Linked DNA regions of Pelodiscus sinensis. The protein of the gene in region 2 purifies or fractionates together with the protein of the main gene of each other region. This does not show direct contact. Links are inferred from orthologs where the notes say so. Each region holds a gene or a part of one and is shown on either strand. Other genes may lie near its edges.

The links. Proteins that work in one complex are often made in the same cells at the same time.
Region 1: the proteins of TNRC6B (region 2) and AGO3 purify together in Homo sapiens (affinity purification with mass spectrometry; 6 studies listed by BioGRID and IntAct, with this or other methods). This does not show direct contact. The link is inferred for Pelodiscus sinensis from reciprocal best matches to the Homo sapiens genes TNRC6B and AGO3.

What each region holds. Positions count from the first base shown.
Region 1 is NC_134735.1:7,593,877-7,604,796, reverse strand, and holds the start of AGO3 (protein argonaute-3), read right to left. Parts: upstream 4,291-10,920; 5' UTR 3,990-4,290; coding exon 3,971-3,989; intron 1-3,970.
Region 2 is NC_134711.1:90,365,127-90,375,998, reverse strand, and holds the start of TNRC6B (trinucleotide repeat-containing gene 6B protein), read left to right. Parts: upstream 1-7,007; 5' UTR 7,008-7,124; intron 7,125-7,178; exon of another isoform or gene 7,179-7,317; intron 7,318-7,323; exon of another isoform or gene 7,324-7,399; 5' UTR 7,400-7,493; intron 7,494-10,872.

The sequences.
Region 1 (10,920 bases), on a different chromosome or scaffold from region 2:
ATTTTTTTAAAGAATTGTGAGCATAGTTCACAGAAAACTGTTATATTCAGCAGTGTATGTGAAATAAATCATCTAATGGGGACCACATATGTGATCCTTCAATGACATATTTTGCCACAGACTGAAGCTGTGTCTTCACTTACAAAAAACATCTGTATAGTTAACTAGTAAAATCTGGAGTGGAATAAAGGGGGACGGACCTATGTTGTTTTTAACTGGATGGAACTAGTCAAGGTAACCCCACTTTAGGGTATAGGTCCTGTTTTTTGTTTCAGCTAGCCTAGACTAACACGACTACATCTCTATTAGGATTGATCTTCACTGACTACATACAAGTAAAAACTACCTGTGAGCTGTCTCCCCTAGGACTTAGTACCATGATGGCTTCTCTGAGATGATGGCAATAGTTTAACCTAGTTCCTAGATAACATTATCCAGAGAACAATAAATGGTAATTCCTTAAACGGTAGTCACCCAGAGTTTAAGAAGCGATTAGAGAAAGCACAAGCCACCCAATGAACAGTGTTCTCTCCAGGATAGTTCATCTTAAATTCACTCGGAAGCTAATTCTGGTGGAGAATTCATCTCTCACCGACAGAAACTGCTATAATGTGTGCAATCTGCAGTGATTGCCTCCAGGTTTTCAAGTAGAGTTTAATACATTAGTTTTGATCAGTGAAGCACCAAATGGCAATAATCTTACCTACTGGAAAGGCCACTTCTCTCCCCCTACCACACTGCCAGAACCTCATTGATTAAGAGAGAAAAATATTGGCGGCAGCTTCTCAACTTTGAAACCCATTCTTACCATTCTCCCTGGGCAGAAACAGATAGAGTTTGCTGATCTTCCTCACAGTCTGCAAAGCTGATTTTTATACCAGGACTTTTGGGGATCAGGGTGCAATCTAAAGGGATGAACTGGGAAGGGATGAAGTAATTCTTTGATCTTTCGACTGAATTAGTTCTTTATAGTATGTTCTGCTGGATTTGTCTGTTATGATTTGTGTTTTTAAAGAAAACATCAAGGGCATCCAGAGCCGTAGGCCCTGGCTCTTATACATCCAAATAAAAATAAGTACTTGGAATTAACTCCAGCAATAACCTACTTGCTATCCACCTGTCTACTAAACTGAAGAGTTTTTTAATCAAGATTAAATATGGACTCTTTTTTTGTAAAAATCATACCACTTCTGATTCAGCAGCTCATTTCAAAACTCCAAAGGATAAAAGCACCAATGTAGCTCACATCATAAACAAGTGCCCTTGAATAAAGTATACCTTTTATGACTTTGTTCCCTACCTTCCCTCATCTACAAGATACAGGTTGTTTTTTATTGTGGTCCTCAGAGGTTACTGGACATTAATAAAAGAAGTTTGAAGAAGAAAATAAATCAAATTCTTGTGCAATTTAAATGACGTTTTAAACCTGCCATATAAAATTTTCTAAAACAGTAACATTAGAAAAGTATTTTAACTTTTTAATTAAAATGTCAATACTTATAAACTATCATTCAAACAGTAGGTTCAAACAACTGCTTTGGCCTTTTTAATCAAATTACATTCATAACTTTTCTGAAGTCAGCAAAACACTATTTTTGACTGACTCATCTATACCAGAGTCCCTACAATCAGCTCCATGGCAACAACATTTTAACATATCTGACTTAGAAGTTCAGGAGTCCATCACCATCATCACCCAGAAATGTGTTAAACTTAACATTAATTATCTACTACTTAGGAGCAACAGCTTGGCGCCGCTTTTCTAATCTGGATCTCATATTCCCATTTCCCAGTTTACTGGGTTCTTCTGTCATCTGCATTCCAGTACACCTACCTCAAATTTCTCATCTTAGTTATTTTTAAACTGTGATGTTCTAGTTGGTTATATTTGAGCACATACCTTAATGTTGCGCCTTGTTACAACCAAATATACTATAGCCTTGTAGCAGATAATGTGAAACACAGAAGCTAAACAAGATTTACCTCACAAGCTTGTCATTTTGGATGCTGGTACAGTTTAGGGAGCTGATTGTACAAGAGTTTGACTAAGTGGGTACTGTATTTTTATTACCTCTTTTACCAAAACCAGATATTATCAAGAACGAACATATGAGTGATCCTACTGGGTCACACCAATAGTCCATCTAGCCTGTATTCTGTCTTTAAACAGTAGCCAACGGCAGGGTCTTCAAAGAGAATGAACAGAACAGGCAATCACAAAGTGACCGTTACCTTTCATTCACTCCCAGATTCTGGCAAATAGGATAGGGACACTCAGAGCATGGTGGTGCATCCCCTTACCATCCTGGCTAATAGTCATTGATGGACCCATTCTCCATATCCTCATGATGTAAATGTATTCAACATGAGGGTACAGGTAGTCAGTAAAACAATCTGTAAAAGTTTTTTAAAGTATGTTCAAACTGCTGAAATTCAGGGTTAATAATATGTCACCAGATCAATACAATCCACTGGCCTCCTAAAATGGTTTTGGCTCGGTCATATTCCTAATCAGTGCTACAATTAATATCATCCAGACTTATTTTTTGTATTGAACAGACCAGACTGCAATCAGACTTTAGAATCTTTTAAAAAGCTTAATCTATCAGTTGCATAACTGTCAACAATGCCTCACATTTGTTTTATATAATAGATGTTAGAAAGTGCTCACTTTATTGATGACTGAGCCACTATGAGTGAGGAAATATTTTTATTGCACCAACAGCAGATGTTAAGAGACATGTTTTTGAGCTACACAGAGCCCTTTCCTCAACAACTATCAATTTTATGTGACAGCTTCAGTTTTCATGGCAACATCATCTCAAAGGAGTCATCACAGGCCAGACTGCACACAACACTACTACTTAGTTTTGGAAAATTTCAGTTATGATAAATCACTTTTTTTTTTACCATTTGGTGACAGCCCTAGAGAACAAACTAATATTCTGCTATATTTCCTATGATTAAGATTCCATCAATAGTACCTGCCCAAATATTTTCATCTAGTAAACAGCCATGATTAAACAGAAATAACATCCAACAAACAAAGCATGTGAATTTAAACAAGCAAATAAACAGGAAATCACACCATTCTTAATAATTATATATAACACCATACAAGCAAAACTTTGCAAAACTCCTCTCACTAACATGCCTACCCCTCTGAGTCCTCTTAGCATAATATGCGTTCTGGGTGTTTCAGTAAAATATCTTTTCCCTAATCCCAAAATCATCATGATACAAGGCAAATGATTCTCAGTTCAGACCCTTAAACTCATCATAATTCGGCAGGGCTGCTAGAAATACCAGCTTCTTTTTAACTCCACAAGGTTTTTCAGGTAGTGATGGTTGAGAGAGATGTCCACAGAGGTGTGCTAGCACACACCTCCCACCTCGCCCCTATACACACAAAATCCTCAGCCAGTATTTGACAGGGCAGGCTCATGATTTTATGGTCTCAGCCCGTTCAGTGGCTGCCTAAAACTGCACCTGATCACGGTGCTTGATACCAAGCCACTCCTGGGAGCCACGAGCAGAGCAATCTGGTTTTAGGCGGACTCTTGAGAGGGTCCCCACGGAGGTCAGGGCTTGAGGACGGATCCCCCAGCCCAGTGATACACACCCCGAGGTAATTTCAGAAGGGATCAGCCTGGCACCTCGTTCTCGTCCCACCCCCAATACCTCCCAGTCACCTCCCCTGCGCACCCCTTCCCTGCCTCACAGCCCCGCCGTGCTCATCTCCCCCCCAGCCTCCCACACCCCAGCGCCCCAGAAAGTGCCCGCTGCCCCCTTCACAGCGGCCTCCCCTGTCCCAGCCCGGAGCTCATGGCTCGCTCCCCCCGGGATCTGCCCCTGCGCCTCAGATCCCCCCCGCCACGGTGCCCCCGCCCTCACCTGCGCCTCAGATCCCCTCCCCCCGCCCTCACCTGCGCCTCAGATCCCCCCCCCGCCACGGTGCCCCCGCCCTCACCTGCGCTGCCGATTTCCATTCATGGAGCTGGGGGCGGCCGCTCTCAGGCTGCGGGACTAGGATCCTGCCTCTCGCCACAGAGAGTAGCCCCCGCTCTGCGCGCGGCGCCGGGTCCGGCCGGCCGGCCCGGGAGCGGGGCTGCGAGGCAGACAGCAGCGGGGCGGCCTCCTCCCCCTGCCGCCAGGGGCCAAACCACTCTGAGGCGGCGCGAGCGGCGAGCGGGAGCCTCAGGAGCGGAAGTTGCGTGGCCGCCAGCAGCCCCAGCTCGCGCTCGCTCGCTCGCTCTCTCTTTGCCCAGTGCCCTGCCGCGCGCCGGAAGCTCCGCCCACCAGCGCACGCCGGGTACGCTCACTTCCGGCGAAGCGTTTCCGCCGTCCTCCCACTCTGGAGCGGACCGTGACGCACAGAAGGGGCGGGCCCGGAAGTGGTACAACGGAGGGCGGGAGTAAAGGGAGGAGAAGGGGGGGTAGAAGGGTGACGCAGTGTCACGCGCTGGGGGCGGCACTTCCGTTCGCGTGGGGGTGGTGGAGGGTGTACAGGGGCTTGGACCCCTTGGTGTCGTGGGGGTGGGGAACAGCAATCTAGGGGGGGCTGCCCGTGCCAATGGGCTGCTTTGCCCCCCCATGGAGATGGGGGGTACAGAGGACGCCCCCCTACCCACAGAACAGGGGGGGGGATGGGAAGCGATTGAGGCGCAGGACCTCTGGGCCCGGGAGCGGTGTGGGAGGCTCTGGACAAAGTGCAGTCCCTGTGAACCCCTGGTCTATCATCTTATAGGGAGGCTAGCCACAGGGAGATGGTGCTGCTGGTGCCCTCCCTGCCCCCGCACCAGTGCCTGCTTTCTGCTGCTGAAAGGAGTGGGGTAAGCCTTATGGGCTGGATTTGGCTTGCAGGGGAAGGAAGAAGTTCCATGTGCGGCTGCTCCCCCAGCTAGCCTAGAGATTTTCCTTACTGTTCCCATTGGCTGGAAATGTGGCCAATGGGAACAGTAGGGGTGGTGCCTAGGAGCAACTGGAGGCAGAGACACAGGTAAGACCCCCACATCCCTAGCCCCTCCGGCACCCATCATCATGGGTGGTAGGGATGTAAGCGAGTAGTCAACTACTCAAGAAGCTTATACTTATCAGGTATTCAAGCCATTAGTCAAGAGCAGGAGGTGCTGGGGGAGCTGGTTTAAAAGCTAGTTTCCCTCAGCACTGCCTCCACATGGGGACAACGGAGGTAGAGATGCAGCAGAGGACCAGGTCTGAGCTGGGACTCAGGTGTGTGGGGGCTTGCACCCAGTGCCCCACTGCACCTCTGGCTTTTAAATGTAGTAAGAGCTGCCTGGGGCCAGGAGCTAACCCCATGGCAACTCGGCATTTTCCCCCCCTTATTGGTTAATCTAGTAGTCAATGGATTAGCTGACTAAATGCAATTTAACACATTAGGTGGTTGACTGGTGGTCCATGGAAAGATCTGCATTGAGCAGGGTGGGCCGTGAGCCAAAAAGTTTGAGAACCGTCTAGCAAGACAAGGGCTACGTCCAGAAGAGAGTTGTCTATACTGGCATGTGCCTTCGTGCAAGAGATGTGCTTTTGCGCAAGAGCATCCTTGCCAGTGTAGATGCTCTTATGCAAGAAAGCTCTAATGGCCATTTTAACTATAGGGCTTTCTTGCACAAGAAATTCATGTTGCTTGTCCACACTGGCCTCTTGCGCAAAAACAGTTGCGCAAGAGGGCTTATTCCTGAGCGGGAGCATCATAGTTCTTGCACGAGAAGCACTGATTTCATACATTAGAACGTCAGTGTTCTTGCACAAGAACTCACGGCCAATGTAGACAGGCAGCAAGTTTTGGTGCAAAAGCAGTTGCTTTTGCGCAAGATCGTGCCAACGTAGACACAGCCTAGATGGGTGGGTACCAGATAAATCTGCACTCTGTATGTATGTATGTAGGGTCCGAGTTCATGAAAGTGACTGGACTCTGGGAGCTTGAAATACTCTGGTGATCCAGAACACAGAGGCTTAGAGTCTCTTCACAGCACTCTAAGGCTGTGTCTAGACTGGCTAGTTTTTCCAGAAAAACTTGCCAGCTGTTACACTGGCCGCTTGAATTTCCGCAAAAGCACTGACTTCCTACTGTAAGAAATCAGTGCTTCTTGCGGAAATACTATTCTGCTCCCATTCAGGCAAAAGTCCCTTTTGCACAAAAAGGCCAGTATAGACAGCTCAGATTTGTTTTCCGCAAAAAAGCCCCGATCGTGAAAATGGCGATCAGGGCTTTTTTGCGGAAAAGCGCGTCTAGATTGGCACGGACGCTTTTCCACAAAAAGTGCTTTTGCGGAAAAGCGTCCGTGCCAATCTAGACGCTCTGTTCCAAAAATGCTTTTAACAGAAAACTTTTCCATTAAAAGCATTTCCGGAAAATCATGCCAATCTAGACGCAACCTTAGGGTGCACAGTGCCAAATTTAGAAATAAACCGCTGTTCTGAAATGTCCCTTAATCCTTGTGGAATGAGGTTTACAGGGACATTGGAATAGCATGCCTGTTATTTTGAAAGCTATTTCGAAATAAGACATGCTGTCAAGATGCGGAATAGCTAGTTCAAGATCCGGGAAATATCCCAAAATAGCACTGTAGTGTAGATGTACCCTTAATGGGAAAAGGTACTTGCTGGGATCTGTGACATCTAGTACAAGTGCATATGCACAACAGCTGGAAAACAAAACATGACAGAGCCAGAAAGGAGAGAGTTTAAATAACAAGAACAAAGAAATCATGTGGAGCTAAATTATCTGTTTAAGGCAAGAGAACCAGTACTAACCCCCAAGAGATAGCTCTTAGGCTTAGTGAATATATTCTGCCCTGTTATTTTACTGTACTTCCACTGCTAGTTATGTTAAAGGGATTTTTTGAATACACCGCCTTCACCTTTTATGGCCGCTTGTTACTTTTTGCATCAGTCTGTTTAATTTGTGAAAATTAAAATTGGTTACATTTTTGCCTGTGCTACGGTTCCCTTTCAGAATTTCAGTGCTGTACCATTTGAGATAACATGCTTCTAGGGTTTTAAAATAGCTGTCTTGTCTTTTAAATTGTAGATACATTTATATTGCTGTTAAGTTTCCCACAGTCTTATTTTTTACCATGTTTTAAATTTTGGCCTAAATCGGACGATGTGTGCCTTTAACTAGCTGGCAAAATGGGAGAAAGTAACTTTAAATTTTCCAGAACTTACATAAAATGTATCAGCAACGGAAGGCGTCTGTCCTTCGGGAGTGGGGGTGAAATGATGCTTAAGTACAGTTTATAGTCCAGATGATTAATATTAGTACATTTCATCCTGCCAGCTTCTATCTAAAAGACATGTTATTCCCTCAGTAGATGAGCTTAGAATGTTCCTGCAATAAATCCTCAGGAGTATCACTGTAATTTTTCCTCTTTTAAAAACAAACCAATCCACAATGGAAACATGGATATACACTTACCAAAATTTGCTTTGTGTATGGGTGTGTAGTGGGGAATAGGCCATATCCATCAGAATTATTTTCTCTCACACAAAATGGGGCCCGGGGAGGGGGGGCTGAGGAATTCCCATTAGAGTGGCTGGTGGAATAAAAGTATGGGAAAGAAAAATAGGGGTAAGAATGTTCATCTGACACTGTTATATGTGGTGCATGCTACAGGGGGGGAAAAGCAGCCCCTTTTGTGTTTGCCCTCTTCTACTATGTTGCATCTCTTCCTGCTATAATTAACCATGCCCAATGGGCAATGCTGTGCTGCCAGCCCCAGCTGATACTAGTACTGTGTTTGGCACTAGCTGCCCAGTTTCATCAGCTGTTTAGGGCAGGATTATTTCCTTCCAAGAGCCAGGAAAAGCAGCAATGGTAAGCTTCTGACAACTTCTTCAGCCACACAAAAGCCAAATGCTGTTCTTGGAATTACAGCTGGTGCTTGCTACCCTGCCAATACCGGTAGGTATAGGAGGAAGGGGAGGGGAATGCTCTTTCTGCTATGCTAAACACATTGAAAGCTATAACTAGAGCAATGTATATTAAACAGCAGACTGACAGGGAAATTACTACCCTGATTTTACATTGATAATGCTTATATTTGTACAGAAACTGTTGGGATGAAAGAACTGGATCAGATTTTTAAAAAAGGCTCAACATGGATAAAGCCCTAAGGGCTTTGAATAGGGTGAGAAGTTAAATTTCCATCCTTATGAAATAAGGCCCATATAAAGGACACCAGTAAGGAGAGGAAAAACCCAAACATCTGGTCTACACCCTCCCTTTACCTAAAAACAAACCAAAAACATTTTCTGAAACAGGCAGCTCAGTATCAGAGCAGGACATAATGTTCCTGCTGCAGGGCAAACCACAGCTGCCTGTGGTTTATGGTAACCTTCCAGCTGCACACAGCTTAAAGTGGGAATTTACACCTGCTTTAAGAAGCGGGATTCTTAAGAAATGCCTTTTTATCTCACATCTGAAAAGCAAAGGTAGCTTCCAATCCTCTTATTGACCTCAAAGTCGAAGCTTTCCTTGGCCACTCCCAAAGCCAATGCATACAGTACCTTTCATGCTTTAGTAGAGGCACTACTTTGCAACAGTTGAAGCCAGCTTCTGCTGTTATCCCAATTCCACACTGCGATATCACTGCTCACAGGCTCTCCAATGCCAGAGAATGACAGCAGTGGAAGCACTTTGGCACAGCTGTCCATACAAACTGCTTGTGCTGGCACTCAAAGAGTTGCTAAAATTGCTGTAATTGTAGTTGAGTAAGGAAAGCTCACGTCCAGTGCATGCTGCACCAAATTGCTCTGCCCCTTTGCAGAGACAGTTCAGACTGCACTGACATTTTAGTTGGGCCTGGCCAAAACCCACAAATACCCCCACTGCCTGCCTGCTTAAGGTTCTGTGTTTCAACTCCATATGCTATTTCACTTGGGAAACTGGAGTGTTTTATATGGATAGAACATGAAATCTGAATGCTTACGGAAGAAGAGACAACGGGGAATTACTAGGAATAGCAGGACGTTCCCAAGGACACTGCCATATTGCAGGGAGTACTGTGGGGATGCAGTGGACTTGCTACAACTAAAAAATGGTGGCTAGTGTAAACTCCAGGATGTCTAGTGACAAGACTGCAATGCTGTAGTGTCAAGAAGGTTAAGATACCAAGCTCCTCTGTCAGCCCTTTGGGGTTTTGCTACCACAGACACACAGTGGGGAGCACATCTACCGCGAAGGGCCTTTAAACAAGCTTGTCTGGGGAGCGGGGTGTATAAATGAAAGGGTAACGTTGTGGCATACAGGAAGCAGAAACACAGCAACAAGTTTAGGAACAGGAAGGCTACATCTATACTGGCATGTTTTTCCGTTAAAAGCATTTGCGGAAAAGAGCATCTAGATTGGCACAGACGCTTTTCTGCAAAAGAACTTTTTGCGGAAAAGCATTGGTGCCAATCTAGACGCGGGGTTTTGCGCAAGAAAGCCCCCATCACCATTTTCGCCATCGAGGCTTTTTTGTGCAAAACAGTTTTTAGCTGTCTACACTGGCCCTCTTGCGCAAAAACATTTCCAGAAAAGGGCTTTTGCCCGAACAGGAACATTAAAGCATTTGCGCAAGAAGCACTGATTTCGGACAGTAGAACGTCAGTACTTTTGCGCAAAATCAAGCAGCCAATGTAGACAGCTGGCAAGTTTTCGTGCAAAAGCAGCTGCTTTTGCGGAAAACCTTGCCAGTCTAGATGCAGCTGAAAGGTTTGAGAGAGGCATAATGCCAGTGCTGGAAGAGATGCTGTGCCAAGGGCATTGGTGGTCAAGTTCAGAGAGAGAGAGAGAGAGAGAGAGATACACTCTGCCTCCCCCACAGCAGTAGACCGAGAACCACTACACACAGTAATGCAGGTTAGAGAATGATCTTTCTTTCCAGGGCCCCAGGATAGAACATGGGTCTGGATTAAAAACTATTCTAGCCATGCCAGTAGCTGCTGCTGCTACAGTGATTACAAGGTGTGCCCCCCCCCCCCCAAACTGAAAATGTTTCCTGCGTCATAAGCTTACACTAAGTCTTTCATTCATTTTAAACAAATCCTTGAAGTGTGCTACAACCTTGGGCTAGACGGAAGAACTTGAGGGACGAAGGTGGTCATTAGACACTGACAACACAACCTTAATGTTGGCCTTTTGGATATCTTTATATTTTTCCATTTGTGAAAGACTCCTGAGAGGCAGGACATTGACAAGGACAAAGGACACATACCACACAAACACACTCTCTCTCTCAACATCCTCCAGCAAGATGCGATGAACAAGTTTACATGCCTACAGACCACTATTGCAGTCAACTTTTCACTTGAAATGGGACTCAACATCCACATTGGACAAGCTGCCACAACAGTATCTAGACCAAACAAATGGACAGACCACACAAAGATGTGTGTGTCATGCATATTTTATCAGCACACTTTTATACAGGAGAGAGGCATGGACCTTATAGTCTCATCCAGAAAAGAAACTCAACATCTTTCATTTGTGCTGCCTTTGTTAAATCTTTGGAATCTCCTGGAGGGATGGAATCACCAACAGTGAAGTGCTCAAACAGGCCAGTATACCCAGCATGCAAAACACTCTTCAGAGATGTCTCTCAGGGCTGAGCATGTGTACATGGACACCCTCTATGGCAAACTGACATCTTGAAAAAGACCCCAAGAACTCCCAAAATTGCATTTCAAGGAGGTGTACAAGAGACCTCAAAGAAATGCATATGGATGTAGACTCCTGGGAAGAACACACACACAGAATTGCAGCTTTTGGAAACAAGAGCTTAACCATGGTCTCTGGAGGCATGAGAGGAAGCAGTCCAGCTTCAAGGAAAAAAGCGTGAAGACCGAGCCAAAAGGGTTGAAACACCACCTTGAAAACATGACACTGTCTCACTTGGTGGGTCTCTTCAGCCA
Region 2 (10,872 bases):
GGAGCATTGTACCCAATGAGCCAGTAATATGAGCCTGTGTGACAACATAAGATACGGTTGCGTATCTTTCAGAAACAATAGGTACATTGGGAAATGCCTACACCATAGAATATTTAAAACAGAGGTGGAGAACTTTTTTTGAGTCAGGGGTCACTGACCCACACAAAAATCAGTCAGGGGCCGCACATAAGTGAGAAACTGTGACGGGGCAAACAGGCCTCACACTGAAGGGCTGGGAGTAGCCCAGGCCCAGATGGCTTAAAGAGCCCCGCCCCTCCAGCCCTGCTGGGCATGCTCCCAGCAGAGCCAGCATATAAAGGCAGAGGGAGCCCAGCAGGAGAGGAGGCAGCTGGGGGGTAGAAGGGTCTAGGCTGCACTGCTGGTGTTCCTACAGCAGTGGAGGCCAGAGCGAGGGCCTGCATCAGCCTCTGGGAGTGAAGCCGGCATCCAAACCTGCTGGAGGGACTGGACCACCTACACCGCCAGCCCTGGCCCTGGCCCTGGCCCTGGCCCTGGCAAGGACTGCTGCTGAGGCAGACAGACTATAGGGGTGCCAGGGTGGTAGAAAGTAGCCCAGGGCAAGGGGTTGCTATCACAGCTTGGTGTGTATTGGCTGGATTCCCCACTGAGCAGGCAGGAGCAACAGTCCCTGCCTACAAGGCCCTGGGCTGTGACCCTGTGGAGAGGGAGGGCCCAGGTCCCCCTACCACCATTTCCTGTACCCTGGGCAATCACACTGGCTGTGAGAGGCTTTTCCTGGAGCTAGGCCTCAACTACCATATATGCCCTGATAGAGGGGTCTGGACTGTGTACTGGGACCATTAGTACTGTATAGGCCTGATTAGAGGGAACAGGATGTGGGATCCTGGGGGGGGGGGTGCACCCCATGTCAGGGGCTGGCCCCCAACAGAAGCCAAAAAACAACCCTGGTCCATTGACATGGCTCTTGATTGAAAAGGAGAAAGACACTCACCACATACACTAGAGCCTAGGGTTGCCCAGGCTGGTAGACTTTGACTATGTCTATGCTAGAGTTTTGTTGGAAAAACAGCTGCTTTTTGAACAAAACTTGAGGAACGGGACATCCACACTGCAATTGTGTTTTTCCGCAAGAAAATCAAAGGAACAGAGGGGTTATTCCAGCATTGGTAATCCTTATTCTATGAGAGAGAAGCCTTCTTGCAAAAGAGCTGTTTTGCAAAAAGTTGTGTGTGGATGGGGAAGAGGGAGTTCTTTCGGAAGAAGAGGAAAAGGCACAGGTGCTCTGATGCCATTCTGTCCATAGCAATTACAGCTTACATGTGAGAGAGTGTTCACCCAGCCTGGATGCTCTTTCAAAAAAGCGGATCACTTTTTCTATTCATTTTTGCAGTGTGGCTGCTCTATTTCAGAAGGTTTTTTTTGGAAGATCTCTTCCGAAAAAAGCTTCTTCCAAAAGAATCTGTAGTCTAGACATAGCTGTGTGTGCCAGACCTGTGGAGGAGGGTAGGGGGAATGGAGTGCCAGATCAGGCTCCCCAATGCTGGAGGGGGAACCCTAAGCCTTGGGCTAGATCCAGGCAAACTGAGGGCCACATTCAGCCCCTGGGCCTAAGGCAGGCATGTCCAAAATCTGGCCCGTGGGCCAATTGCGGCCTGTGTTCCGGTTTAATACGGCCCCCCCAGGTAATTTGGCAATATCTATCTTTTATGGCCCCCAACGAATCCATATGTATTGAGATGAATACATTGTAAAATCTCAGTTAATGTCATTTGGTCTAAATCAGTTATAAATATATTTGGACACAACATGTATACTTGGTGTTATGTTCCTGTTCATATTTTTTGAACTTAAAAGTTGACAGACAACCTTTATTACCAATAATATGTAATGTACTTTACAATGTTCCTGACATATATTTCAGCTTCCTGGATTTTTTTTTTTTCATCTGGCCTTCAGATATGAAAGGCAGAGTGATTTAACACCTGTTTAGATTTGTCATCCATGTGACGAAAAGAAAAATATGCCGTTTGCAATAAACTTTGCATAAAATAGTTAATTTGCATTTAATTTTAATGGTTCAAAGAATGTCAGGCAAAATGGTCGGCCCTCACACATGTTCACTTCATCAAATCTGGCCCTCGTTGAAAAAAGTTTGGACACCCCTGGCCTAAGGTCTCCCACCCCGATCTAGAAGAAATGGCAGTGAAAGCTATAATAGTCATGAACAAAAATTCAACTGTCGTGTGCAGTTTTGTCACAATACTTCAAACCTAGCAAAGAGATAAGATACTTAAAAGAAGAAACAGAAGAATGTTCCTTAATAAATTCTGGCTGCAGTGCCCATTTAATGCATTCTTTAGCCAAAGACTTAAGTGCCTTTTCTCCAGGAATAAAAAATTGTTGAAGTTGAAAAATTCTTTTGTAACCATTTTGTTTCAGTGTTACTGAAGAGAGCGGGAGGATTCAAACTAATTCTCCCTAACAAGGTTCTATGGAATTCTGTGGTTGATTGTTTTGAACAATTTATTAAAAATTGGCCTAATCTTTGTGAAGAAAACCGTGATTAAATATATGGAAGTGTCTCATGCAAAGTAACATTGGAATAAAGAGTACTTTAGAGGACGTGCTCAGCTTGCTGATGCTATTGAAATTTTAAAGGCAGTTCAAGAGACATTGATGAAAGAAATACCTCACCAGAAAGTTAAACTGCAGGCAATAAAATAAAGAAGCGAATGAATCAAGCACGAACTCCACATTATTTTCTTGAGAACATTCTTGACCTCAGGTACAAAGATAGATGCTGAATTTTTCAAGATACTGCTGCTGCCATACCATAGGCATCTCAAAAATCACTCCTCAGTTATCCAAGTCATAATAAATTTCAGGGCTGGAGCGAAACCATTTAATTGGTACATGTTTAGTGATTTTTTTTTTTTAAAACAAAGTCTCTCCCCTGACTTGGTGGAAATAATTACCTAGGCAAGTTCCATCAGTGGCTAAGCCAACTTTTCACAGCACTAGCTTCCTCTGCAGGCACAAAAAATATTTTCATCATTTGGTATTTCTCGCTCAAAGCTAAAACTGACTGGGAGAGGGGAAAACCAGAAAAAAATCATTTTTGTTTATCTATGAATTAAAATGGAACAGTAGGTGTTAAAATGACAATAGGAGTGTGGAAAACAAGAGCTAGTTGTAGAAGTTCTAAGGATACCATACATTTAGTGTTGTGGTTGTTTGTGTTAAAAGTTAAACTTTTTTAATTTTCAAATTATATTATGCACAGTAGGAAAGATTAAAAAATGTTATTCTAACAGTATAGATGCTAAAAATTTTAGTGGTTACATGCTAACTCCCCAGGAGCCAAGCTGGCAGACACTGTGCTCCAGGCTGCCAGCCCCACTCCCAGGGAGCCAGCTACCAGCCCGTGACCTACAGACTCTCATAGGGTATGTCTACACTACCCTCCTAGTTCGAACTAGGAGGGTAATATAGGCATACCGCACTTGCAAATGAAGCCAGGGATTTGAATTTCCCGGGCTTCATTTGCATAAGCGGGGCTCCGCCATTTTTAATGCAAATGAAGCCCGGGAAATTCAAATCCCGGGCTTCATTTGCAAGTGCGGTATGCCTACATTACCCTCCTAGTTCGAACTAGGAGGGTAGTGTAGACATACCCCTATAGACTCAGTAGCACAGGGTGGCAGCCAGTTCCCCAGGAGCCAGTGCACGCCAGGAGCCAGCTTTTAAGCTGGCTCCCTACGTGTACTAGCTCATGGTTGCTGCATTGCACTGCTGCCTCTGATACAGAGACTTCTGTAATTTAATTTTTAATATTTTCTAAATCTACACTGAGCTTTTTTTTCCTAATAGTTCACTGTGGTTGTTCTACACAGCTGTCTCAGTGTAGAAGCCAACAGGGTATCAAAAGACTAATGGCAGTCAAGAAAACACTAATGTAGTGTTTAGGGAAGTAGTGTTTAGGGAAGTACTGTAACATGTAGTATGTGAGCAATAGACCAATTTTTTTTGTACAGCTTCATTTGCTCATAATTCTGTATAATCAGTGCAAGATTAACATGCTCTCTGGACATGAAAACGGTCACAGAGAAGGGGAGTTGGTGAGCGTAGCAAGCAAGGGGGCACAGCCCCCTAGTTAACTTTTTAGTTCCATTATCCTTATTATCTCTTGAATCTTTGGTAATAAACTTATCTTTTTTTCACTATGAACTATCTAAATGCTGTGATATTAAGCAAGGTGCTGATCCTGAGTTGTCATAGCTAGCATATAAACTGTTCCTTTGGGGAAAGCAGACCTGGTATTTCTGTGAACTTCATTAGATAAGGGTCTGGATGCTACAAGTGCGTGTTCAATAGAGCTTGGGGACTATGGTGTGCCTATTTTTAACCTGTAAAGCAAAATAAGGCTAGCATTGGCTAGAGGAGAGTGCTCAGGTGGCTAAAGAGCTGTTGATGTTAGGGAACAGACACTCAGCTAAAGACAAGCAAGTTTCTCACATGCTGGAGGCAGGGGTTGACAAGGTACCCCTTAGAACTATTACACTGTCCCTGGGCTTCTGCTGTTCCTTGATCTCTGCATAAAGCCCCTGGCTACGTCTACACTGGCCCCTTTTCCGGAAGGGGCATGTAAATTTCATGAGTCGTAGTAGGGAAATGCGCGGGGGATTTAAATATCCCCCGCGGCATTTAAATAAAAATGTCCGCCGCTTTTTTCCGGCTTTTAAAAAAGCCGGAAAAGAGCGTCTACACTGGCCCCGATCCTCCGGAAAAAGTGCCCTTTGAAGTAGGAATAAGATCCTCCGGAAAAGGGCACTTTTTCCGGAGGATCGGGGCCAGTGTAGACGCTCTTTTCCGGCTTTTTTAAAAGCCGGAAAAAAGCGGTGGACATTTTTATTTAAATGCCGCGGGGGATATTTAAATCCCCCGCGCATTTCCCTACTACGACTCATGAAATTTACATGCCCCTTCCGGAAAAGGGGCCAGTGTAGACGAGCCCCCTCTATATAATTTCAATCACTCCTTAACAGCTCTCCCCTCACCTGCTAAATATTTATCAGCAGGGTCTACAGAATAAAACTAAATTAATAGAATACTAGAACTGGAAAGGATCTCAAGAGGTCATCAAGTCCAGCCCCTGCCCTCATAATGGGACCAAGTACCATCTAGGACTAGGTCATCCCTGATCGATGTCTAGCTAACCTGCTCTTAAATAACTCCAGTGATGGAGATTCCATGATCTCCTTAGGCAATTTATTCCAGTGTTTAATCACCTGGACAGTAAAGAAGTTTTTCCTAATGACCAACCTCAATCTCCCTTATTGTAATGTAAGCCCATTGTTTCTTGTCCTATCATGTCAAAAAGAACAATTTTTCTCCCTCCTTGTAACATCCGTTTAGGTACTTGAAAACTCCTATCATATCCCCTCTGTCTTCTTTTCTAAACTAAACAAACACAATTCTTCCTGTCTTTCCTCATAAGTCATTTTTTTTGGACCTTTAATCATTTTTCTTGCTTTTCTCTAGACTGTCTACAATTTCTCCACATCTTTCCTGAAATATGATGCCAGAGTACTCCAACCAGGCCTAATTTGGAGTATCTGGACCAAGGTGGGTTTTTTTTAAAGTAAACTACAGCCATGATTTCAAAGCACTGTGGAAGAAAACCTGGCTTCACTGACATCAAAGGCAAAACCCTCCTCTCCTTCAGGATAGTGGTAGAAATGTATCCCTTAGTCTGGTGCTGCTGAAACAAAAAACAGGACTATGTAGCACTTTAAAGACTAACAAGATGGTTTAATAGGTGATGAGCTTTCGTGGGCCAGACCCACTTCCTCAGATAAGAGTAGAAGAAAATTGTTATATGGTTGTGACAATTTTCTTCCACTATTTGATCTGAGGAAGTGGGTCTGGCCCACGAAAGCTCATCACCTATTAAACCATCTTGTTAGTCTTTAAAGTGCTGCACCTTCCTATTTCTCCTTCAGGCTGCGATCCCTTCAGTGTAAAACGCAGGAGTGCTGGAAAGAAGCCTAGGGCAGGGCGGCGGCTGCGCAGCGTAAAGGAGACGCTCCGTCACCTCACTGCTCTACCTGGTTCCTGTGGGTCACAAACAAGGGTTTCGCGTGAGACCCCCCCCCCCCAGACGCCAGAAAGGCGATTCGCGCTGTGCTGTGGCCGCTGCAGCAGCCAGGAGACCACTGAGATCCGTGCCAGAGTCACAGCCCAGCGCCGGCTGGGGCCGCGCTCGAGACTGTGGCTGCAGCAGGCAGGGCCGGGCTGAGACTGGGCCGCTGGATCAGGCTCTGCGGGGATGCACTCGGGCCGTAGACAAGCAGCTGAGGGGCCTCAGGATTAGCGCTCTGCGGCGCATGACAACGGGCCAATCAGAGGCGCGCTTAGAGGGAAGCCGCCCTATGACGCTATCAGTAGCTATGGTGGATACGCTTACTGTTGCCAAGGGCTGAAAAAGATGATAGGCGGGACACCCCAAACGCTTTCACCAATGACGTGCGCGCTTCATTAAGACTGACACCTTTCAGGCCCAATAGCGTTTCCCTCCGGCTATAACCTGCACGGGGCGGTGCAAGCTGGGGATAAATAGCGTCGCAAGCTGTGCCGGGTGTGCCCGTGTTGCGTCTCAGACAATAACTAACTGGGGGCGGGGCGTTGCATTTGTGGGTGTTTATCGCTGGGGCCCTTGTTGGTAACTTGGACACCAGTCAAACGCCTTCCCTCTGGCCGGGACCACACGGGAGCCGCTGTGCGTGCTTGATTGACGGTGATTTTACCTAGCTGAGCTAGGTAGTGCTGCCGGCGCGCAGTGACGCACCAACGCAGAAGTCTCTTTTAAGACCCGCAGCTTGGTGGGCGGGACTTTGTTTTGTGACGGGCCCAGCATTCATCCAATGGGTGGGAGAGAATAAAAATACAACCCAATGAAGGGTGCGGAAGAGCCCGAGAGTTGGGCGCGTTCTCGTCCAACGGCCTGGGTGTATAGCCAATGGGGAGAAAGGAGGAGGCGGTGCCAGACAATGAGTTAGGTGGAAGATGTATGTGACTGTCAGTGAGTGTAGCCAATGGGTGGGGAGATGGCGATGATGCCAGCCAATTGAAGTCGCAGAAAGGTGGGTATTGATGTGATAGGCAAGGGTTGTGGCTAATGGGCGGGGAGACTACGGAGACGCTATCCTATTAACAGTACGGAGGGGTGAAAAGAGGCGAGGTGTGTGATCGGCAGGAGCTGCGGCCAATGGGGGCGGACGCTGGCGCAACCCTGGCCAGTGAGCTGCGCAGGGGGCGTCACGGAGGCGTGTCTCGGTGTGTTTGGGTTCGTGCTCTCGGGGGGAGGGAGACGGCGACGAGGAAAGTTTTTATTTTTTAAATTGTATTTTGTTTCTAGTTTCTGGGGTTCGCGCTTCCCCTGCGGGTGACGCGGGTGGGTGAGAGGAGCCGCCCCCGGCGCTGAGGAGAACGGAACTACGCGCACCTCGGCGGTGAGTACGGGACAGGCCCCCCAGGCACAGGCAGCGCGGCGGGGGTCTCCGTCCGTCTCCCTGGGGCCCCGCGCTGCGTCTGTTCCCCCGCCCTCAGCGGGAGGGGTGGGGGCCTGGCTGGAGAGCCGCCCCGCCCGCCAGGGCTCCCTCCGGGCCACTCCTGCCTCGGAGCCGCAGGCGGCCGCTCGCTGGTCTCTGCCTGGGCGGTCCCGCTGGCTGCCCTCGGCCGGCTGGGGACTGAGGCGGCGCGCGCGGGGCCGGAGGGTGGCCCTAGGCCGGCGGGGTTTAACTGGTGCCCGAGCCCCGCCCCGTGCGGAGGGAGGGGCGGCTCCAGGCTCAGCCCGCGGGAGCCGAAACGGGAGCCGAGGCCCTGTGTGGGGCCTGCAGCGCTGCTCTGCCCGCGGCGTGCGAGGCCAGCTTGACCCGGCACGGCCTCGGCAACCGGCAGCGCGCGGGCCAGCGCAGAGCCTCAGTTGCCGCCGCGTAGCGCGCTGCGGGCCCCAGGGAGTGAGCAGGAGACTCTGAGCCCTGGCGGGTGGTTCTGCTTCCCGGCCGCCCCCAAGCAAGCCGCCAGCAAACCTCCAGTGGCTGGAGTTACCCCGCTCCGCTGCGTGCGGATGCGCTCCTGAGGTTATGTCGGTAGCACTACCGACCACATTGGATTTGTTGCATACGCGGCTGGTGGAATGAGTTTAGAGGCGGGAGGAGTAACCGAATTGAAGAGGAGTGTCCCAAGCCAAAGCCACTTTTCAGAGCTATTCCTGGCATAGGAAAATCCGAGGCGACACATTGCTAGGGCTGCTTCTCTCTCACTCTCGTGCCTGCTTTGTGGTGCTCCTTATGTTAATATATACGCTCTATGACTACATAGGGAAGTAACTGAAGTCACCTAATTTTGTGAGGCGTGGGCATGTTTTTTTTGTTAACTCAAGCCAAAAAATAAGTGGTCATGCTGAGGCCCCTCCATTTGCATTCACAGTCATACATGACCCTTCCGTTTTACTGTCCCAGTTTAGTTTCTATAACAGGGGTGGGCAATACTTTTTGTAAGGGGTGGGACACATCACCAATTTTGGTGGTAGTGGTGGCTGGCTGTGGGGCAGAGGAGCACATGAGATCTCTTGCACCTGCCCAGCCGAGGCACACAATGCCTAGAGGGAATTGCTAGTGTTTTGAACTGCTGGCCGTTCCCTCTGGAGCAGTGTACCCCTGATGGGGGGAGGAGACTCCATGCACTCTTCTGACCCTGGGTCTTGATTGGCCTGGAGGCAGGGCGCAGCGCTGCCAGCTGCAGACTGGATCAAATGGCTTGGCAGGCTGGATTCAGTCCCTGGGCCATATATTGCCCTTTCTATGAAGAAGCTTTTTTAATGTCAAAGTATATCTTGCTTTTTTAACTTTTGGGTTTAATATCCAGATTATTTTGAGGTGTCTGTACAGACTAGGGATGTTAAAAAGTGCTTAATTAGGTAACCATGTAACTGTTAAGTCTTAGCAGTTATTCGTAATGGGCTCTGCAGTATAAAGTTTTAACCCCCGGAGCTGGGCAGGCAGCAAGTGTGCACTGGAAGCTGGCTCTCAGCTGCTGACTCCACTCCTGGGGAGGCCTACAGCATGGGGCGGCAGCTCACTTCCACCTCCTGCTCTGCTCTTGGGGACCCAGTTGCCTCCCTTGCACTGCTGCCTCTGATTCAGGGTGGGTTGGGGGGGAGAAGAAAGAGAACAGGGTGAGGGGTGGTCTGGATTGAGGGGAGGAAGGGGTCCTTAGCCTTAGCCCAAGTCCCTGCCTTGAAGGACCCAGGCAAGGCGGCTGGTTAAATCTGCTAGTTTAAAAAAAAAAAAAATCAGTGTACCATTTGTCTCCTGGGCTATGTGTAGCAGTGAACAAAATGAATATTGTTGTTTGCGGGATTTGGCACTAAATCTTTTTATTACAGCCTAGCTATAGAAATAGGCTGCTTTTTGTACTCTAGGTAGCTGTTACTGTCAGACAGATGAAGCTGCCAATATATATTTCTGTTTAGGCCTTGCCTGGTTGAGCGTAAGTCAACAATTCTCTGATTTCTGACCTTTCTATTTCAGTGTATAATAAAGGGTGCTCTCCTGATACCAACAACAATAAAGTTGATAACTTTTAGAAAGATCTCTTTGTATCCTTCAACTATGTGAACTCTTACCTGTATGATCAGCAAAGGAGCAGATTTGTTTGCAAGTGTTTGATAGTTCATTCCATTTGTGAAGCAATGGATATAGAAGAAGAACATATAGCATTTAGATAATGCTTTGTATTTTTTGAAACAAGGGACAAACAATCCGTATTCACATCACCCTTCTCGCATATTGAGTCCAGTGATATTGTTAACTTTGTCCTATGGCATGGACATTGTGGCTATGTCTACATTTGCGGCTTCTTGCGCAAGTAATATGCAAATGAGGCTAAGCATGGAATATTGCTGAGCCTCATTTGCATACCTAATGAGTCACCATTTTTTTTCAGAAGAGGCTCTCGCGCAAGGAGTGTCTACACTGCCCCTTCTTGCGCAAGAAAAACCCTCTTGCGCAATGCCGTTCTTCCTGAAAAGTAAATAGGTGTAACGGCATTGCACAAGAGGATTTTTCTTGTGCAAGAAGGGGCAGTGTAGATGCTCCTTCTTGCGCAAGAGCCTCTTCTGAAACACATGGTGGCTCATTAGGTATGCAAATGAGGCTCAGCGATAGTCCATGCTTAGCCTCATTTGCATATTACTCGCGCAAGAAGCTGTGAGTGTAGACATAGCCTGTGGGAGAGGGTTCTGAAGCTTTTATTTTTTCATGAGTACTAGGAGTTGTAATCTCATCTTGGATAACTCTTTGTTTACAGTGTATTGAACTATGGAGATGACCTTTACTAGTTTCACCAGGTCTGTATGGATCACATTTCTGAGGGTTGGCAGGCTCTTTAGTTCAGAAATCAAGCTAAGAAATACATTTAAATGATTGTCACTCATCTACACAAAATCTGATGAATTACTTCTGTAGAAAAGTCTTCTGAGTTTGTTTCACTGTTTTAATCTTTATGTAGTTAAATGAATATAACTAGAAACTGGGGGGGGGGGGGAGCTCTCTTAACCAGTGAGTCTCTTTTGGAATGGGGAAAAATATATAATCAGATTTAGTGAAAAGGAATGGAAGGTACTATTAAAATATAATGGAAGATGAATGCCATGAGAGAGAGGAGTCAAAATGAAAGTGTAAAATGATAGGCAGCAAGAGGATCCAAATACAAGCAGAGAAGGCAGAAGATCAAAGGCCAGAAAGCTAATTAGTGGATCAGAGGTTAAGAAGTCAAACTGAAAAATGAAGGGGTGATAGTTGGGGAGGGAGGGCAGCTTAAGCAGCT